Alligator mississippiensis: one gene and its partner. The protein of the gene in region 1 interacts with the protein of each later gene in a pairwise test. Links are inferred from orthologs where the notes say so. Each region holds a gene or a part of one and is shown on either strand. Other genes may lie near its edges.

Region 1 (10,320 bases):
ACTCTTGCTGAGTGCAGCTGGGGGAAAACAAAGCCCTTGTGGACTTGAAAGTCCTAGGGAAACTTCTCTTAACCATATCACACACAAGAAATAACCCAGTATTGGAGCAGTGTGAAGTCCCACGTGGATCTCAAAGCAGATGAAGATGAGTAACTTCTTCTGGTATAGATTCATAGATGCTAGGGTCGGAAGGGACCTCAATAGATCATCGAGTCCGACCCCCTGCATAGGCAGGAAAGAGTGCTGGATCTAGATGACCCCAGCTAGATGCTTATCTAACCTCCTCTTGAAGACCCCCAGGGTAGGGGAGAGCACCACCTCCCTTGGGAGCCCGTTCCAGACCTTGGCCACTTGAACTGTGAAGAAGTTCTTCCTAATGTCTAATCTTAATCTGCTCTCTGCTAGCTTGTGGCCATTATTTCTTGTAACCCCCGGGGCGCCTTGGTGAATAAAACCTCACCAGTTCCCTTCTGTGCCCCCGTGATGAACTTACAGGCAGCCACAAGGTCGCCTCTCAACCTTCTCTTGCGGAGGCTGAAGAGGTCCAGGTGCCCCAGTCTCTCCTCATAGAGCTTGGCCTGCAAGCCCTTAACCATACGAGTGGCCCTTCTTGGACCCTCTCCAGGTTATCCACATCCCTCTTGAAGTGTGGCGCCCAAAACTGCACGCAGTATTCCAACTGCGGTCTGACCAGAGCCCGATAGAGGGGAAGTATCACCTCCTTGGATCTGTTCGTCATGCATCTGCTGCTGTACGATGAAGTGCCATTAGCTTTTCTGATGGCTTCGTCACACTGCCAACTCATGCTCATCTTGGAGTCCACTAGGACTCCAAGATCCCTTTTTGCTTCCGTTCCACCAAGCAGGTCATTCCCTAGGCTGTAGGTGTGCTGGACATTTCTCCTCCCTAGGTGCAGCACTTTGCATTTCTCCTTGTTGAATTGCATTCTGTTGTTTTCTGCCCACATGTCCAACTGCTTGTAGTTGTTCTCTGCCCTCCGGTGTGTCCACTTCTCCCCACAGTTTTGTGTCATCCGCAAACTTGGACCGAGTACACTTCACTCCCTCGTCTAAGTCACTGATGAAGATATTGAAGAGTATCGGTCCAAGGACCGAGCCCTGCGGGACCCCACTGCCCACACCCTTCCAGGTCGATACCAACCCATCCACTACGACTCTCTGGGTGCGACCCTCTAGCCAATTGCCACCCACCGGACTGTGTAGTCATCCAAGTCACAGCCTCTTAACTTGTTTACCAGTATGGTGTGGGATACCATATCAAAGGCCTTCCTGAAGTCTAAGTATACAACATCAACCCCTAGGATCCTAGACTTTGCCTAGGATGGTATAGATGGATGCATTTTATCTGGCCTTTGAATTACTCATTTTAAATAATTTAAATTATCCCTATAGCTGTAGGGGTTTAGGTTGTGGCCGTGTTGGTCTAAGGACATAGGCAGACAAGGTTCCTTGGGTGAATTTGATATCTTTTATTAGACCAACCTATATGGTTGGAGAATAGTTATTAAGCAAGCTTTCGGGTTCAAAAACCCTTCGTCAGGCTAAGGAAGCTTCAGCAGTTGGTGTGTGCTCTTCCTGGATGGAATGAAAAGTTTTCATTCCTCCCTATAGCTGCATTCACTCATAAATATGTTTAATAATTCACTCACAAATAGATGGTTAACAAACCAGGCTATCTTTTTGCCTCATGTTTTACCCAATATCGGGAGTGTCAAACATGTGGCCCACAGGCCAAGTCCAGCCTGTACAGCCAGGATATTTGGTCTCTGTGGCTCCTGGGAATTCAGGGATGGGGTGAGCAGGGGCTTTGGATCCCTGTTTGGGGTGTGCGTTAGTTGTGAGGGATAAGTGAGATCTGTGTTAACCCCTGCAGCTCTACCACTTCACCCACTCTTCACCCCAGCTCTGAGATGTATAACAACTGGAACCATATCTCTATCCTTATCAGCGTGATTTAAGCAGCCATTACTGGATTCCCTTATTGCCTCCACTCTTAACTCTCTCTCTTCAAACCCTCATGGTTGCAACCCTCACCCTAACTCAGTGGCCTTAGGCAGCTTCAACATAACTGTTGTCCAGAGAGCCCTACTGCCCCCAGAGATGGTGCCAAGCACTTAAATAGTGACTAGAGAAAGCTCCTGGGAAAGTCTAGGCAGACTGACTGCACAGCTCTTCACCTAAAGCTATTCCCTGTTACAGTTGCAGCAGGTAAGCACAACCTTGAGTGGGAAGGCACTTTATTGAAGAAATATACACTGTAGCAACACTTTGCATCAGCAGGAAACCACAATCTCTCCTTGCACTCTCCTTTTCTGGAGTGCAAAAGCCATGGAAAGAGGTCTTCCTATTCAGCCATGGGATACCTGCCTAGATTGTTCTCCAGTCCAGAGCTGGATTCTGCTGAGGTTACAGAGGGGACTGCGGCCTGGTAACCCTGCCAGGAGTTGGGCTTCCTGTCAGAGTGTTGAATGTTGCCCATTCCCCTTCTGTGGGCAGGCAGGGACTGTGACCACTGCTGTAGCAGCCAGCCTGGATTGTGGAGTATGTGCACCAAGTTCGTGGACTTCTGCTGGAGCTGTATACTGGTGCCCAGGCTTATCCCCTCTGCCTCCTGCCTTCCTATGCCTGTGGTACCCACATTTTAAAACAGCTGTTCTGATCCTGTGGGCTCTGACTATTGCCCTCCTTTGCTGTCCATATGGAATGGGTGTAGTCCAGGAGTGTCACTCATCCAGCCTTCTGGGCTGATCTACAGGGCCAAAAGAATGGTGTGTGGCTGGCCCTGTGGGCCATATCAGGCCCACAGACTTGCCCTTTACTCCCCTAGACTAGACCCAGTGCACATCTTGCTCCAGCCAGTCCAGGACTGGGGGAAAGTGTGTGTGGGGTGGGGGGGGATCATGTCTGGGTGTAACAATAAAACTCCTGCATGGTGTTGTATAGGAACTGAGCTGGTGAGGAGGTCACTCTGGTTAAAGCTGAGCATGCAACCACAAATTTTCTCAAAGCATAAACAGTGTCAATGACAGTGGGGAAAAGTATGTGTAGAATGAGAGGATGTGTGATAAGCAAGGTACGCAGGTATGGGTGTATAAATAATCTGTAAATAGCCAGTAGTAATAGTAGTAATAATAGCTATAAAAATAATGAATATGCAAGTAACAAAAGGTATAAAAACAGTTTGGGAACAAAGGGTCATTGGACACAGTGGCGACAAGTAGGGGGTGCACAGGGGTGCATGTGCACCCCCTGACAGCGCTGGTGTACACCCTGACAGCCACCATTTCCCGCTTAGGCAATGAGCTGGGGGGGCAGGCAAGAGCTCTGGTGCTCCCCCCCCGAGAGCACTGACCAGAGAGTGAGGGCGCCAGGAGAAGCAATCCCTGCAGTTCCCCCCTACCCCCCAGGGGTCGACGCGCCACTTCTGGGTTGGCGCGATTGGCCACAGGGGGACCCCCCCCCCTCGGTCGCTGACTGGCCACTGGGGGGGCAAGTGCCCCCCTAACTCAGGAGGCACCAATCGACCATGACTGGACAACTGCACTGCACTCAGTGGCAGGTGGAGGGGGATGAACTGGTGCATTGCACTCCCTTCCTCCCTGTTTGTTTCCTGGTCCATCCAAAGTTTAAAACCAATTGCCTGGCAGTGGCAGCAGCAGCAGCATTTCTAGTCAGGCAGCAGTGAGGAAGTCACTTGACTTTATGGCTCATTATAATCTACCAGAGTCCTTCTAAATTCTTCATTCAACAAGTGTTAATGGCTCTTCCTTCTTTTTAATGGTCTTGATGGTCCACCAAGCAAGCTAGCTTTTGTTATGCAATTTGCTGCTCCTGGTAACAAAACTCCTATTTCACAGCCCCCCAAACTGTTTTTAACTCATTCCAATGAAGACTTCTTTGTTGCGTCTCCAATCCAACCTGGTCTGTTCCCAGTATTCTGCACAGGTCGCTGCTTCTGGTGTTGGTGTTGCCAGACCTTATAGGGTACATTGTGGTGCCACAGGGCATCTCAGCAGATGATCCGCTGTTTGCTTCTCCTGAGAAACATGTTGGTTGCATAGAGGTCCCATGATTTCATGAGAGAGTTGCATCTTGCGAGACCCACTCTCAATCTGTTCAGGCTCCGCCATGTGTGCCATTTGTAGTTGGAGCCGGATGCCAACTCCTCACTACAGAGAGTTCCTTGCTGGTTCCGGTGAAGTTATATTATTCGAATGAAGTAATATTTGTTCTTGCTTCAGTCAAATGGAATAATACAGCCTTGAGCCCCTCGCATGTTAGTAAAGGTTCTAGCTTATTTTTAACTGGAGAAAAATCAGTGTTGTTTTATACACAATGAATCGATGCACCTCAGCATCTGCACTCCCTCCCCTCCTGGCCTTTCAAAATCCTATGTCCATGAGACCCTGTTTTCTCATGGGGACAGATAGCAAGACTTGCTTAAGATAGTTTTAAGGTAACTAGCGCATTTCTTGGGGTCAGAGCGTGCGCTGTCTGCCGAGGAAAGCTCCAGGAGTGGTGTGGAAACGTCTCCAGCCTTCTCTTCCCCCAACAACCCCAACTGAGTTTGGGGTGAGAGAGCAGGCTGGGAGATGTGGTGTGTGCTATGTGGGTGCCTGCTGTGGCAAATGTCCCTCTGTGGGCAGAGAGTGGCCTGGCATGTGCCACATGTGGGTTAAGGCCAGACTCAGGGGTAGCACCCAGGGGCCCTATCATGGCCACCTCTGGCCCAGCCTGAGGTGCCTCCAAGAGACTGCCCCCAAGATACTGCTCAGGGGCAGTCTCTGGGTAGCCTGGGTGAGCTGTGGCCACTGTTGCGAGTCTTAAATATGAAGTTATCATGTTGGAAGCTCAAAATGATTGCATTTGCTGGAAAACAATTGACAAATATGCAAATAAGTATGCAATTAAGTTGTGTTTTCCTTGACTTTAAATTGCTCACTCTAAGTCCCAGTGAGTGAGTGAGAATTGGGTCATGAAAGTGGGGGCTGTTCTTTATTTCCAGGTAAGGAGTCACCCCAAAGTGCGGCCTCGTGAAGGCTCAGATCAAGCGTAGTGGCTTCTGACCCTGGCAGGGGAAATACCATGTATCTGTGTCCAAGAAGGCAGCTTTCCTGAACCACCTGGCAGAGAGCTGCTCTTCTGGCGTGGCTCGGTACCCACTGAGGTGCAGCGGGTTTAAGCCGTTTATGGACATAGGAGTCCCCTCCCTTGTTTGCTCTGACGGCCGTATGGCTAAGGACAAGCAAAACTTGGGGGCATCCGAACCCCAAACCACTGGGCTTGGGCCTGCAAGTAGGATGCCCACCAAAGGTTTTGGAAACACCTGAAGCCCCAGGTGCGGGTGGAGGATGTTTGCCAGTAGTATGGCCACTTATGGTTCTGGACTCTTGGATTTGGAATTAGTTTTGTCTAATTTGACCTCGGATACAAATTAAATTAAAACAAAACAAAGAAGCCCCTGAGTGTTGCTTAAGACTCGTAACTTGGGTTTTGCGTCCAATTGCATCAAGTGGGTGCCTCAAAAATTATCATATATTTTGGACGCTTTTTTTATTATTAACCTTACCAGGGCTGACATCATTGCACAGACACACCCCTCGCGCACGCAGACGCCGGGGCGGCCGTTGCTAGGGCCGCGGTGCGGGTAGCAACGGCGGAATGCGGAGCCGCGCGTGCGCAGCGAGGGGGCGGGACCTGGCGCGGTGCATGCCGGGAGGCTCGGAGCCGGCGGGGCGGGCGCTGTGGGCCGCGATGAACGCGGCGGTGGTGCGGCGCACACAGGAGTCCCTAGGCCGGGTCATCCGCAAGCCGCCCCTCACCGACCGGCTGCTCTGCAAGCCGCCCTTTCGCTACCTCCACGACGTCATCGGCGAGGTGGGCCTCTTCGCCCCGTCTTCGCGTCCCCGTTGCCAGGTGCCGCGGGGGGCGGGGCCACGGGGGTGCTCGGGGCGGGCCCCGCCCCCTGCGGGTCTGGGGCCCTGCAAGGGCCTGGGCCTGGGGGCTTCCCCCTTGCCGCCAGCCTGGCAGCCAGCTCGGAGTGCGGCTCGGGGCGGGCAGCAGAGCAGGAGAACAGCAGAGGATGGGCCTGGGAGGTGCGGGGCAACTCTGTGGCTCCCCCCCACCACTGCTCTGAAGCCTGGTACTGCCCGTGGGAGACTCAGTTCCTCACTGGAGAGTAGGGTCCTCCACCAGCTTGTTCTGTGGCCCCCATCCCATCCCTTCACCTGCCGGTTTCCACCCCATAAACTGTTACAGGGGAGGTCCCATTCAGCCCCATCCTCCCCCCCCCCCCCCCCCAACCTCCGTGCTGCCTGATAATGGTGCACCAGCGCTGACCTGGAAGTGCAGAGCCCCTTCACTGAAGGAGATGTTAGATATTCGCATTAGTTCTTTTTTTCTGTTCCCACCTGAAAAGGAAAGAAAAAAAGAGACTTGGTAAAACCCTCTGTTAGAAACAAGGCAGGTACCAATAGGTGTGGCAGCAGCAGGAGGAATCAGGACTGGGTTGAAAACACCCAGGCCTGTGGGTCAAAGTCATGAGTTCCTGTGAACAAGTGAATGCAGGAATTTTCCAGACTAAAGTGAGTGAGATGTTAAGCACCTGGGGAAATGTGTCCGAATTTATTCTTCAGAGAATGTCATGCTGCCCTAAAATTAAATGAATACAAAATACTGACCGACACCTTTCAATGAATATGTTGACGTGAGCGAATGACTGACTTCCCTCCAAATAGAATAATAGAAAATGAGGGTTGGAAAGGACCTCAGGAGGTCATCAAATCCAACCCCCTGCTCGAAGCAGGAGCATCCTCAACTAGATCATCCCAGGCACGGCTTTATCTAGCTTGGTCTTGAAAACCTGCAAGGATGAAGATTTCATCACCTCTCTGGGTAGCCTGTTCCAGTGCTTTATTACCCTCCTTGTAAGAAAGTTTTTCCTGATATCCAACCTAAACTTCCCTTACTACAACTTGAGAATGTTGCTTCTTGTCCTGTCATCTGCCAGCACCGAGCACAGTCTAGCTCTATCCTCTTTCCAACTCTGCTTCAGGTAGTGAGTCAAGCTAACAGATTTGCCTGCTGGAACCTTATACAAGAAAATAGTGTTTTTGCTGAGGTTTTCTAGCTGTTCTCAGTAATTTACCTTTCCTTTGTTTTGAAGGTAATTAGAGTGACAGGTTTCATGAAGGGGCTATACACAGACTTTGAGATGAAATCTGATAATGTTAAGGTGGGTATGAAATTTCCTTATTTCATTATACCCAGCATGGGCAGTTACTCCTGTGTTGTCATACCCAGTTTCATGTAACAAACCTATCTTTCTTTTACAGTTAATGTTTTGGGGGAATAGCCTCAAATGTAGCTTTTCTGAATATATGAGATGGTGTCTTGTGGCAGGACCTAAATTCCCCGATTGTGGACAAGAGACCTATGGTGCTACATGCTGTAGAGATACAAAATGATTTTTCATTTCTGCACTGAGCATACTGGAAGTTAAAGATACAACACCATTAAAAATAATAACTTAAAAACTATGACTTCTGCTTTTTAGGTTCTTTTTTGCCCATTATACATCCACAGACAACTTTCCTCTAAGACTGTATTTTCTAGGGCTAAGGAGGGGATTGTTATGTTTTGTTTTACGTGCCCCAATGGTTTGTCTCTGTTTTTGTTGATATTTTAATGCGTATACAATAACTAAGGATGATTCAAAAAATAAGTATAAGTGTTTTGAGTTGCATAACAACATACGTTGTATGAAAGAATGGCAAATCCTTTTTATGTTTACAGCAATGTGATCTTGCGGGGGGTTGTACAGTGAAGTGTATTATCTGAGTGTGTGCTCTTTTCTGTTCTGAGAGGTCAATTTTACTACAGCTTGAAAAGACAAACAAAAATTGTATCAGCTCTTTACTTTCACTGTTGTAACTAGCACTGCTCTCTGCAGTGAATTAATGATATTTCCAGAGATGCATATACAATGCACAAAGTGCTTTATTCTACCCATATTATGAGATGTGCTTTTTCAGTTTGTCTCCACATGCAAGTGGGGAAGTTGTGCCTACTGACAGATTTTCTGTCTATGGAGAGTAGTTATTTTTGTGCCATTTCCCTTTAAGGCGAAGTCTTCCATAGGTAATTGAACTCTTGGGCAGATGGTACCCATGTAAGGACCAGTGATGCAATATGGCCACCCTACTCATGCTGTTCCAATGATTGCTTTAGTCTTTGTTCACATTTGAGCTGTACTGCATCCTTGAAGTTGTATTGATCTCTGGAGAGGAACCATCTCACTGTTCCCTCATCCCTAAAATAGTGGGTTTCTGAAGTCCTTGAAGGGAAGTGGGCAAGATGAATGAATCGCCATCATTACAAACCTAACACTTATAATAGGCTTTTTTGGCAAACAGCTACTTGCCTGATATGCATGATGGATGGTTAACCCTTGATACCCATTTCAAGTGCTGTAAGTGCTGTGCAGCAGTGTCAGTTGTATGGCTCAGCAGCAGATCAGGCTTGGTAGACAAGAGCACTGGCATTGTTTCACAGCTGTTTGTTTTATAGTTTCAAGGCTTCTGTTAGCAGTGGAGAAACAGACTGGCAGTTGGTTGATTGAATCATCTGACTTTGAGAATGGCAAGGACATTGGTCTGTAACCTGATTGGTATATTTAATGCAGCTTAAGCAGTGCCTTCAATATTGAGATCAGTGGGAGAGGGCAAATGACCTGGGCAGATCACATGATTTAAATCACTGCCTAGTTAGTCAGACATGACTTAAATGGCTTTGTCTGTACTCAGAGAACTTCTGTGCTTTGAATTCCTAGCTTTTTGTTTCAAAACAGAGAACAGGATAAAGATTCAGCTGTTGCTCTATTCCTAGTTAAGAGTTCCTGCGGGAGCTTTAAATTGTGATACGCTGAAGGACAGTGAAAAGTGTTCCAACAGCATCTGCAGGGAATAGCAAGTTGAACTTCATATTGAATGACATGCATGCTTCCTCCTGGAGTGGCTAACTTCTTGTAGCATATGAGGATGATGCTCATGGGGTTGCTGATGACAGTCATGGGGCTACAGACCTGGGAAGAGCCACAATGATGGCTTAATTTCAAAAAGAGGATGGTTTTTGGTAGGGCTGTGCAAAGCTTTGGGTGTTGATTTGATTCAGAGGAGATTCTGCCTGATTCAGTGGCTGAATCTCTTAATCCAAATTGAATTGGGACCAATTAAAAGGTCCGAATTGATTTGAAGCGCTCTGAATCTTAGGAAAAGATTCAGAGAGCTTCAATGATTCGGGCAGCCCCTGCCTGCTGAAGCAGGGAGCTGGACCTGGAGTCAGAGCTGGTAAGTAGGGGAGGGGGGAGGGAACCATGGTGGGACCCCTGCCAGGCCCCATCTCCTGCCTGCTCCCCCAGCTCTCACTGACCCCTGCCTGCTCCCCCAGTCCCCCCATGGCTGCCCCGCCTGCCCCAGCTCCAGGTGCTTTAAAAAAAAGCCCCACTCACCGTGTGCTGCCAGGTCGGGGGTGGAATTCCCACTGCCCCATGCTGCATGGGGAGCTCTGCACGAGCCCCCTGACCCGCCCTGCTCTCCCAGGCCCCGCCATGGCTGCCCCACTCACCGCAGCTCCAGCCCCTAAAGAAAAGAAAAACCCCAAGAAAAACCCCAGGACTCACTGCTCTTATAGTGGACTTGGGGCTTTGGGGGGCTCATGCAGAGCCCCCCATGTGGCAGGGGCAGTGGGGATTGCCCCCTGCTGGCAGGAATGGTGAGTTTAGGGTTTTTCTAGGTTTTTTTTTTCTTAAAGGGCCAGAGCTGGGGTGGGCAAGGCAGCCATGAGGGGGACTGGAGATTTGGGGGGAGGTTGGGGGGCTCGTGCAGAGCCCCCCATGTAGTGGGGGGCAGCGGGGATTGCGCCCCTGCCCAGCAGCACCCGTTAAGTCAGGGCTTTTTTTTTCAAAGTGACGGGAGCTGGGGCAGGCTGGGAGAGTGGGTGGGGTTTGTGGCCTGGATGATTTGGCTGAATTGATTTGGGACAGTGATTCAAATCACCAGATTGAATCACTGTCCCCCAAATCAGCCGAATCCAAAGTGAATACTAGCCACTTTGCACAGGCCTAGTTCTTGGTATCCTTGTTGTGAGCTAGACTTAACGGTTTAGTACCTCGGAGAGTGAGTTTGCTCACTGCAGGGGAAAAGCATCTCTTTGGAAGCTGGCTGTCCTGTGAATTTACAGATTAATTCAGCAGTAGGATATTGTGGAAACTGATAATTTAACCACGTTGAAAAAGGGATTG
Region 2 (9,647 bases), on another chromosome or scaffold:
TTTTGCTGTCACAATTCATCATGCACTCATCCTCTTCCCAGTCCCTTCTCAAAACTCTCTACTACAAAGTCCAGAAACTTTAATATATTTTAGTAAAAATGGTATCTCCTGTGCTTTCTAAAAATGTTGTGATAAGACATTTCTGTTTATCTTGTTTGGGGTTAAGCCCACTCAAGAAGGGATAGTATCTTTTGTCCTGTACAGCATCAAACAGAGATAAACATTTTGTCAGTGAGTAAAACGGCATTTTAATATATACACTTTCAAAGAACCAATACAGTTATGGACTATACTGATGATACAGAGATGATAAACTAAGCCTGTCTCCTAGCATTACCCGGTCATGCCAGAAACAGAGTTTTTGTTTTTGTTTTAAATGAAAGTTTAGATTCCATCCTCATGTTTGCAAAGAAAAACTTGAAAATATGATGCTAATGTTACTGGTGCTGTGAAGTGTGCTAGACCCAGAGGAAGCAACTTTTCCTCAAACCCACTCTTCAGGCAAGTCAAAGTACTCTCCTACACTGGCTTTTGATATGGTGTGGCTTAAACATCACTGGTCACGGAAGGCAGAAAAGTAAAATGCCAGTATTCTCTCAGGTGCGGTCCAGTTTGAGCAACAGATGAAACCTCTTCCCTTGCTGGTGAGTGTTTTAACTACTCAACTGCACAGTCAGGCTGCCCCTCAGCTAGAAGAGAAAAAAATAGAGCCTCAACACCTTCCTGATTGTCCATGTCACAATACTTTGTTTGTCACATTTTTCTTTACAATCTTCTCTGCTGTTTTTATGAAATGCCCACTGAAACAAAAGCAAGGCCCTGGCTGTTCCCAGCTTGTGTTCATAAATCCTATTAGTACAAGCACAAAGCTTGGTAGGAATGGAGTTCAGTTGATTGAGTGTAACAAAGCAGTAAACGATTATATAGTGTCCTGGCAGTTGTACCAAATGATGAGAAAACAAAAACATGTTTCACAGTTCTTTAATTTTGAATTGATTTTGGGATTTAAAAAAACAAACAGATAAACTATTTCCAGTTGTTTAGTTGGTGACATTTTCTGATAACTAGAATAAATTTGAAGGGGAAATATCCCTGCCAAGGCATTTGGGGTGTTGTATAGTGTTTAAAATGTCTTTACTCTTCTGTAGACAAGGTTCCTTGGGTGAATCTGATATCTTTTATTAGACCAACCCAAATAGTTGGAGAATAGTTATTAAGCAAGCTTTCAGGTTCAAAAACCCTTCTTCAGGCTAAGGAAGTTTCAGGAGCTGGTGTGTGCTCTTCCTGGATGGAATGAAAAGTATCTTCCTGGATACTAAAAATCACGGACTAAATACAGACATTGGATTTATGACACATTATAACCTGCCTGACATCTGACTCCCCAGGTATCTCTCCACTATTCATCCCCCTTCTCTTCCCGCCCCCCGCCTGTCTCTCACCCATTGACTCCTCAGTCTACATTTTCACTGACTACCCGTCTTGTATGCATACCAGCCCAGCCCCTGGCTTCTTTACTTTTCATTCCATCCAGAAAGAGCACACACCAACTGCTGAAGCTTCCTTAGCCTGACGAAGGGTTTTTGAACCCGAAAGCTTGCTTAATAACTATTCTCCAACTATTTGTGTTGGTCTAATAAAAGATATCAGATTCACCCAAGGAACCTTGTCTGCCTATGTCCTTCGACCAACACGGCTACAACCTACACCCTTTACTCTTCTGTAATATACTTAGTAAAACCCAGTCAGTTCTAAAAAAGATGAATTCAACCTTAGTATTTTTCAGATGCCAAAATGCTAGGATCTTTTACTTTTGTTTTGTTCACTGTTTATCCTTGTGCTCTACATTCTGGGAAAAGGAATAGTTCAAGAGCCAAATAGAAAATGATTAACTGATTATCTTGCAAGACTTCTACAAACAGAATAGTTGTGCCTGCATTGAAACTCACCCCCAAGATGGAAGAGTCCAGTTATGTTCTCACAAAACAAGAGATCTCAAGGGAAAACCCTGGTAGTTGATATCGAGTCTTTAATGACAATTAAGCTGGGCTGCTCAGCTGGAAGGCATCAGAAGCTATCCATCAGTGCTTTGGGCTCACTGCTGTCAAGAGTGCTGATCCTGCAGTGGTGTGGGGGAGGGGGCATGCACCCAGTGCAGCAGTGGAGGAGGATGCATGGGGACGAGGTATTGGAGCGCTATGCAGTAGCAGCATTGTTGATGTGGCCTCTAGTGCAGCCCACAGTGTTCAGGCCCCAGCTGCTGAAAGGATGGGCTGACCTGATCTACAGTTTCCAACACTGCAGCTCGCTGCATTTGTATTTTCCCGTAAGATCTACCATCCAGTATGATTCATCTTAACACTTAGGTTTGACAGTATAATTTGCAGGGCTCTGAACTATGCTGTTATTTCTTCATCTTCACAGAAAAAATGCGTTGTGTTTGATCTTTATATAATCTAAATTGTGTTGGACAAGGAAGCCCAGCTTACGTGTGTCTGTAGAGTAGTTGGCTTTTGATCTAGCAGAAAATAGATCCTTTTTTCTTGCAGTGAATTATGGTGATGATTAAATAAAGAGGCACAGAAATACGAACTAAAATTATTGTGCACTCCCCTCCCCGCAAAAGAAGCTAGCCAGTTGGTGGAGCGGGTAATAATGGAATTGGCAATAGCCTGTTGCCTATAATGGTATATCCCTTCAGTCTTCAGACAAAGCAGAAGAACATGATCCTTCGAGGTGTGAAACACCCAAACTCTGATCTTGAAAAATAGTTACATGCTTTGCTGAATTGTAGCCTTAATGCACATACTTAAAGTTCATCTGTTTTGAGCAAAGCACTTGAGTATGTGTTTTCATTTGAAGGCAGTGAAATGTACGTGTGTGTCTAAATGCTTTGTTCACTAGGGGTGAATAGCCTTTTGTTGGGTGGGCCAAAGTCATCAGCACCTTCCAGGATCAAATCTGTAATGCTTTAACTCTGGTTGCTGTCACTGGGAATGAATGGTAAAACATCAAAGGAGGGAAAGGACTTGACATTTTGAAGTTAGTGGAAGTTTTGAGCTAGATCCACAGAAGAACATTAAGTGCCCACATCCAAAGTTTAGATCGTCAAAACCTGCTCAACTATCACCTAGCCCTGGAGGCAGCTAAAATGTTTCCTAAGTACTCAGATATTTCAAGGGTGTTAGCACTGTTAGGTCTGCAAACACGATTCACAGCGTAAACTCAGAGATTTCAAACAGGAGTCCACGGTGCTAGAAGAATTCTGATCTGTTGCAGTCTTTCTGATTCCTCTGCAACAGAAGGATTGTCCAATTGTTTTTCCAAAGTAAAAATAAGTGAGTGAATACTAAGAGCTGGCCTTTTCTGAGGGGTGCCTTGAGTCTAAAAAGGTTAAGAATCAACTGTACTACCCACTGGAAGAAGCAGTGCTAGATGTGACAGAATCCAAGTCATTTTGTGACTCTAAACCCTTGTCTATAGTTTGGGCTCTAAGTCTTTCCAGATCCAGCCCTAATCAGCAACAAACAAAGGTCATTAGCATCTAAAAGTTGGTTGCTGTATGAAAGAGCTGTATGATTGCTCAGGGCTCCAGACTTGGGCCTGCACGTAAGATGGCTGCCAATGGATTTGGAAGCATCTGAAGCCCCCGGATGAGGTGGAGGATACTTGCTGGTAGCAGGGCTACATATGGTTCTTGCACGATTCAAATGAATTTGGATCTGATCTGGGTAATTTGACTTGGGACGTGAAAAATTTCCTTAAAAAAAGACTTCTCTTTGCAAACAATTAGCTCTGTACCTTTCACACAAGCACTAGGTTAACATTAAATGTTTTTAATGGTTCTCTAACCTACCATCTAATGTTTCTCTCGCATAGTCTCTCTAGCATACTCCAATATCCCTATGGATTTCAAAACAATAATGCCCAAAGTGTCCTGATCTTTACAAACATGGTTGTTTCTTTTTTAAAGATCCTATTCCCCATGATTTATGACCTAAAATACACTATTCACCTTATCAGTCAAGGTCTGAGATTTCTTAGTATGGAGAAACCTGGGAAAGGATGTTGGCGTAGCCCTCCCTGGGGTGAAGGGTTACAGTGAATCGAGGCCTGAAAGCTCTGTGCCCTTGTAACAAGGCCATGTGTCACTGGAGGGGGGAGGGAAGCAACAGGTGCCTCAGGTTAGTTCTGGGTCCCTGGTGTAAAAAAGTGCTAGTGGATGAGTGGCCACATGCATCAGTGACATGCGGCTAGCCCTGGGCCAGTCTGCTAAAGTGGTGTTGCAGCAGCATTGCCAGGTCTTAAATATGAAATTATCATATTGGAAGCTCAGAATTATTGCATTTATTGAGAAACTATAATTCACTGAAAAAATGTGCAAATGAATATGCAGGTAAGTCTTATTTACTTTATATTGCTCACAGTATGTCACCAGTGAGTGAGAATTGTGTCAAAGTTGAAGCATCTCTATTTTGAGATGTCATAGCAAGTGCTGACAGCAACCCTAGAGGCCTCTTGAAGGCTTAGATCAAGTGTAGTGGCTTAACCTGGCAGGGAAAATACCATGCATCTGTGTCCATGAAGGCATTTTCCTGAACTGCTACACAAGAGAACTGCCCTTCTGGCGTGGTTGCAGTGGCTTTAAGCCCAGTTTATGGAAATAGGAGTCTCCTCCCTTGCTTGCTGGGGGGGCCTTATGGCTGACAGCAAGTGAAACTTGGGGGCATCTGAACCCCAAGCCTCTGGGCTTGGGCTGGCAAGTAGGATGCCCTCCAAAGGTTTTGGAAACATCTGAAGCCCCAGGTGCGGGTGGAGGATGTTTGCCCGTAGGGGGGCGATTTCTGATTCTGGACTGACTCAGATTTGGAATTGATTTGGCTTGGAACATGAAACATTGTCTCCCCCCCAAAAAAAGACACGGACATACAGTTTTTGAATGATTTAAAGGCTTCAGAACTGATCTGGCTAATTAGACCTGGACCATGAACCTCCCCCCCCCCAAAAAACAAACACCAAACCGCTAGAAGCCAGTTAAAAGTTCCTGGTTTTGCATATGCTACATTAATTAGCCGCCTCAAGCATTATCCTACGGGGTAGTGGTAGAAGGGGTGAAGTTATGGTACAAATGCAGTAATTCTCCTACACCGGCAACACCGCGTCTCCGGCCCTAAGAGGGAGCCTCGCAGGGCCGGGGCAAGCAAAGAGCAAGCCCGCACCGCTGCGCGCTCCAGAGCCGGGACTCAAACGCCGAGGCCTCGCGCGGCTAGTGACTCAGGTGCCTGGGGGCAGAGCCCCGGCACTACGCAGCCGCCATGGGTGGGGCTACGGCGCCGCTCTAGCAGGACCCGCTCACTCCTAGGGCGCGCTTGATCCTCGGCGGCTTCCGTCGCCCCCAGTCACGGCCGGCGCCCGGCCAGCCCCGCCCCCCGTCCCTCATTGGCGGATTCAAGAGTCGCGGGCTCCTTGAACGCGGCGGCGGAGCGGGAGGCGGCCGGGTACGCTCCGGACGAGGCCGCACGGCGCCCCTTGCGCCCCCCACCTGCGGCAGGATGTTGGACGAGCTGGACCCGGAGCAGGAGCAGGAGAACGTGCCCCCCGTGGGCAAGGCGCTGCCGCCCGCCGTGCCCCGCAGCCGCACGGTGCTGGGGGTGCTGCGCGAGAACCGCCCGCGCCCGCAGGCAAGGGGGGCGCCACGGGGCGGGGGGGCCGCGGGGGGGCGGTGGTGACGGCCCGCCGGCGCTAACGTGCGTTGCCCCCCGCAGGCGGTCGCGGCGGCGGCGGCGGGCCCGTCGCGCAAGGGCGATGGCGGGGCCCGGGCGGTCCGCGCGCCGCAGCCCTTCGCCGTGCACGTGGACGAGCCGGACGGGGGGCGGCGCGGCCGGGTGGGGGCCGCCAAGCGCGCCGGGCCCGCACTGCCCGTCGCGGGGCTCCCCACCGACAGGAAGCCGCTGGTGCCGCTCGACACCGCCATGGACCTCAGCTGCGGTGAGTGCGGGGCGGGGCCGGCCCGGGCGGCACCTCCTCCTCTCCCCCCCCCAAGCAGGTGCTGGGGGCGGGGGGAGCTGTTCTGCCCCCGAGGGAAGGGGACCTGACTTGTGGAAATCTGGCTCTGGCTGGCGCCCCCTATCGCCCCCCCCCCCCCAGGCGCAGGTCAGATTAGGGGGTGCCCACCCAGGACGGGAGGGGGCAGGAACTGCATTTGCTCCAGCCCAGACTTGTAGCCCCCTGCTTTGGGCAGGACTGTCCCTCTCTCCACGGTCCTAGGACGGCATCTGGGGAAGCAAACTCGGGTTCACAAAAGCTTGTGCTCTGGCTTGCTCACATCCTCCTGCTTGCACTCCTGTTCTCGCTCTCAGGCTGTGCAGGTGCAGGTCGGCCCTGACTTCAGGCTACCATGGCTAAACCCCCTCAAACCATCCTTGACAAAGATTAGGATCTTGGGGCTCTTCTACATGTGTTGGGGGAGCTGCACTTTGTGGCTCTGAGAGCTGCTCTAACTAAAGCACCACAAACTTTCATGTATCGGTGTCCCTGCACTTAAAAATGGCAGCAGGAGCACTTGAATTTAAAGCACTTTTAAGTGCAGGGACACTGATGTACAAGATGCAGGAGGCTGCTAGAGCACAGCTGTTGCTGTATTCCAGCAGACTCTATTAATTGAGTCGGTTCCAGCACATCGGAGCAGCCTCTACACTTGTGTAGGTGCCTACAGGGAACTAGGGCTAGAAGGAGCTTCACCACGTCCTTTGGTCCAGTCCTTTGCTCCAAGCAGGACCATCCCTCTGAAGCACCCTACGACAGCATTTGATGACATGAACTTGGGTTCACAAAAGCTTGCTTTCACTTTCTCTTTTCCCTGCTTCCTTTCCCCTGCCCCCTAAAAATCTTATTTGGCGTATAAGGCGAGGTACAGACACTGCACATAAACTGGTACAAATGATCAGAAAACGGTGTAAAGCTGTAATAGAAGTTTAGCATGTGCAAACCGGTTTCAAACTGGGGGGGACTTGGTCTAAGATAGATCTGGATAGATGCTGTATTAGATTTAATCAGTTTAGGATAGAGCAGGATTTCGAACTTCTGTCCCAGATCCTGCAGCAAATTGTCTGCTTTGGCTGTCCTCCATGGGTGAGCACTATTCTACAACCTAAATATCCTCTTTTTAACTGATATTCCAAGTGTCCCTAAAGTCATTGTTCTTCATTGGTGTCTTATGAAAAGCTAACTTATGAAAATGTTGCTTGTGCATCTGCATGCGACTCAGACCAGCTTTGGGGATTCCCTGAGTCCAGCAGTTCCTTTAGCCTGTAACTTACAAGCTTTGAATCCCTGAAACAGCCAGATATCCCTTCCCTGTGCCTTACCCATCTGCTTTCCCATGAATTTCCTCACTCTTCTTGCTACTGTTACTTATGAGCTGCTGGCCCTCTTGAACTCTCAGCCTTGTCAGGGTCTGGCTGTAGCAGCTCAGAGCTTCAAACTCTGAAAGGCTTTAAAGACCTAGTGCAAGTTGCAAAAACTAGAATACACACTGGAAACTTCCATTTGTGCAAGTACTAAATGGTTCTGGCAAGTTGACTAGAAAACTAGGGTAGCTCAGGTAGACACTAAAATAACATAAGGCAAGAGAAGTCCAACAGTCTGCCCAATTAAAAAATTCTGGCAGAAGACTTCTCAGTTGCCTAATTTTGTGGCTTCAGCTAAAATACATGCTAACATCAGGCTGTCCCCTGACTTGCAGGCTCCACTTCAGAGTACAGGTCCATACTCCTATGAAGATAGCTTACTATGCTAGTATGAAGCGTCTTCCACCAATTTTTCTTTCTCCCACCCCATAGATGAAAAAGCCCTTTGCAACAAAGCCCATAGTTGAAAAAGCCCTTTGCAACATTTCTCTGTTCTTAGTGCAGCCTAGGTGGCTCAAAAAAGGCAAAATGCCAAAAACAAAAAAAACCCTAGGTCCTGGGTCACCAACATAATCGTTCTGCTCAATGCAGTCACTGTACCATGCGGTCTGAGAACTTCTGTAGGTTTAATGTGACTACTGTCTTGCACTTAGATTCTCCAAGTATTATGGATATATCTATAATCCAAGATGTGGAAGAAAGAGTAAATGTTAATCATGTGCCAGACTACATTGATGATATCCATAAATACATTAGGGAAATGGAGGTAAGATGCCATGATTTTGTTTAAACTTTTAAGGCAGCTTAGCTCAGGATGGTGAGGCTTGTGGGTCTAGTCCCTGGAGGGGTGGCAGCTCAAGTAGGAGCTTATAATTGGAGAACAGACTGAGGGGAAAGGGGAAGAAAAGTGAGCTTCCTGTTGAGCCCTTCTAGAATAAAAAAACCTGGCTGGAATATGCACTGAACATAAAAGAAAGGGCTTGAGAATGGACTCTGAAGGACCTTGGGCACCAGTATTTGGATTCTACTTTACGTATAGTACAAGTATTTAATTTGTATGTTAGTGGAGGGTGGTTTTTAAATTCTCCCATCTTTGTTGCACTTTTGGTCAGGTAACTTCTCAGCCAGGGTCAGTGCTAATATCTCACATATACTAACAATTCCCTTAACAGGTGAAATGCAAGCCTAAATCTAACTATATGAAGAAACAGCCTGATATAACAAACAATATGAGAGCTATTCTTGTGGACTGGCTGGTGGAAGTAGGAGAAGAATATAAACTACAGAATGAAACCCTGCATTTAGCTGTAAATTACATTGATAGATTTCTTTCTTCAATGTCTGTTCTGAGAGGAAAGCTTCAGCTTGTGGGTACTGCAGCTATGCTGCTAGCATCGTAAGTTAATTTGACATCATTGCTCTTAGAATGAGGCTGTGTGAGAGACATATAGGGGAAGGGAAAGATTATCTTAAAGCTGTGTCCTTTCAAAACTCTGTTTGACCAGAAGCCTTAAGATATCTATGTTCAAGTTTTTAAATCTTTTGGAAAATGACTTCATATTTACTCAGATTTTTTCATTTATTAGTATCTAATGCACCTGGCTTCTGACCTGGTCCGCAGAGCTTGTGTAGCTAGAACATTCCAGGTATTATTCTGGAACAGTCTTGGGCCCTATAGTCTACAAAAATGTGGAAGGAAACAGAAATCATATTCATACTGGAATTTTTATGGGTTTGCCAAGATTCTTAGACCTACAGGAACTTAATGTGTGGACTTAATGTTAACTACTTACTTATACTAAGTTAGTCATGTACTAGGAATAGGTTATATAAGTAGAGCTGAGCTCTGAGGAAACAGTTGCTCCCTATCTTGCTAACTTATGTTGGACTAGGGTGGGAGGGAGAGAACTACTAGTTGATAGACCTGTTCCTCTTTCTAAGTGTATGTAACAAGTTGCTTATACTTCCTAATCATAGAAAGTTTGAAGAAATTTACCCTCCAGAAGTTGCAGAATTCGTCTATATCACAGATGACACCTATACTAAGAAGCAAGTATTAAGGATGGAGCACTTAATTTTGAAAGTCTTGTCATTTGACTTGGCAGCTCCAACAATAAATCAGTTCCTTACTCAGTACTTTCTGCACCAGCAGGCAAATGCTAAAGTTGAAAGTTTATCGATGGTAAGTGTGAATCTGGCATTAAGCCCAATGTGCAGTCAGAAAGCTCCATCTTAGTA

Evidence for each region.
Region 2: the proteins of TRAF3IP1 (region 1) and CCNA2 interact in a two-hybrid assay, tested with the Homo sapiens proteins (2 studies listed by BioGRID and IntAct). The link is inferred for Alligator mississippiensis from reciprocal best matches to the Homo sapiens genes TRAF3IP1 and CCNA2.

What each region holds. Positions count from the first base shown.
Region 1 is NC_081827.1:183,386,800-183,397,119, reverse strand, and holds the start of TRAF3IP1 (TRAF3-interacting protein 1), read left to right. Parts: upstream 1-5,728; 5' UTR 5,729-5,729; coding exon 5,730-5,936; intron 5,937-7,185; coding exon 7,186-7,254; intron 7,255-10,320.
Region 2 is NC_081825.1:114,576,598-114,586,244, reverse strand, and holds the start of CCNA2 (cyclin-A2), read left to right. Parts: upstream 1-5,457; 5' UTR 5,458-5,552; coding exon 5,553-5,681; intron 5,682-5,765; coding exon 5,766-5,988; intron 5,989-8,062; coding exon 8,063-8,175; intron 8,176-8,581; coding exon 8,582-8,805; intron 8,806-9,386; coding exon 9,387-9,591; intron 9,592-9,647. UniProt on the Homo sapiens protein: Cyclin which controls both the G1/S and the G2/M transition phases of the cell cycle. Functions through the formation of specific serine/threonine protein kinase holoenzyme complexes with the cyclin-dependent protein kinases CDK1 or CDK2.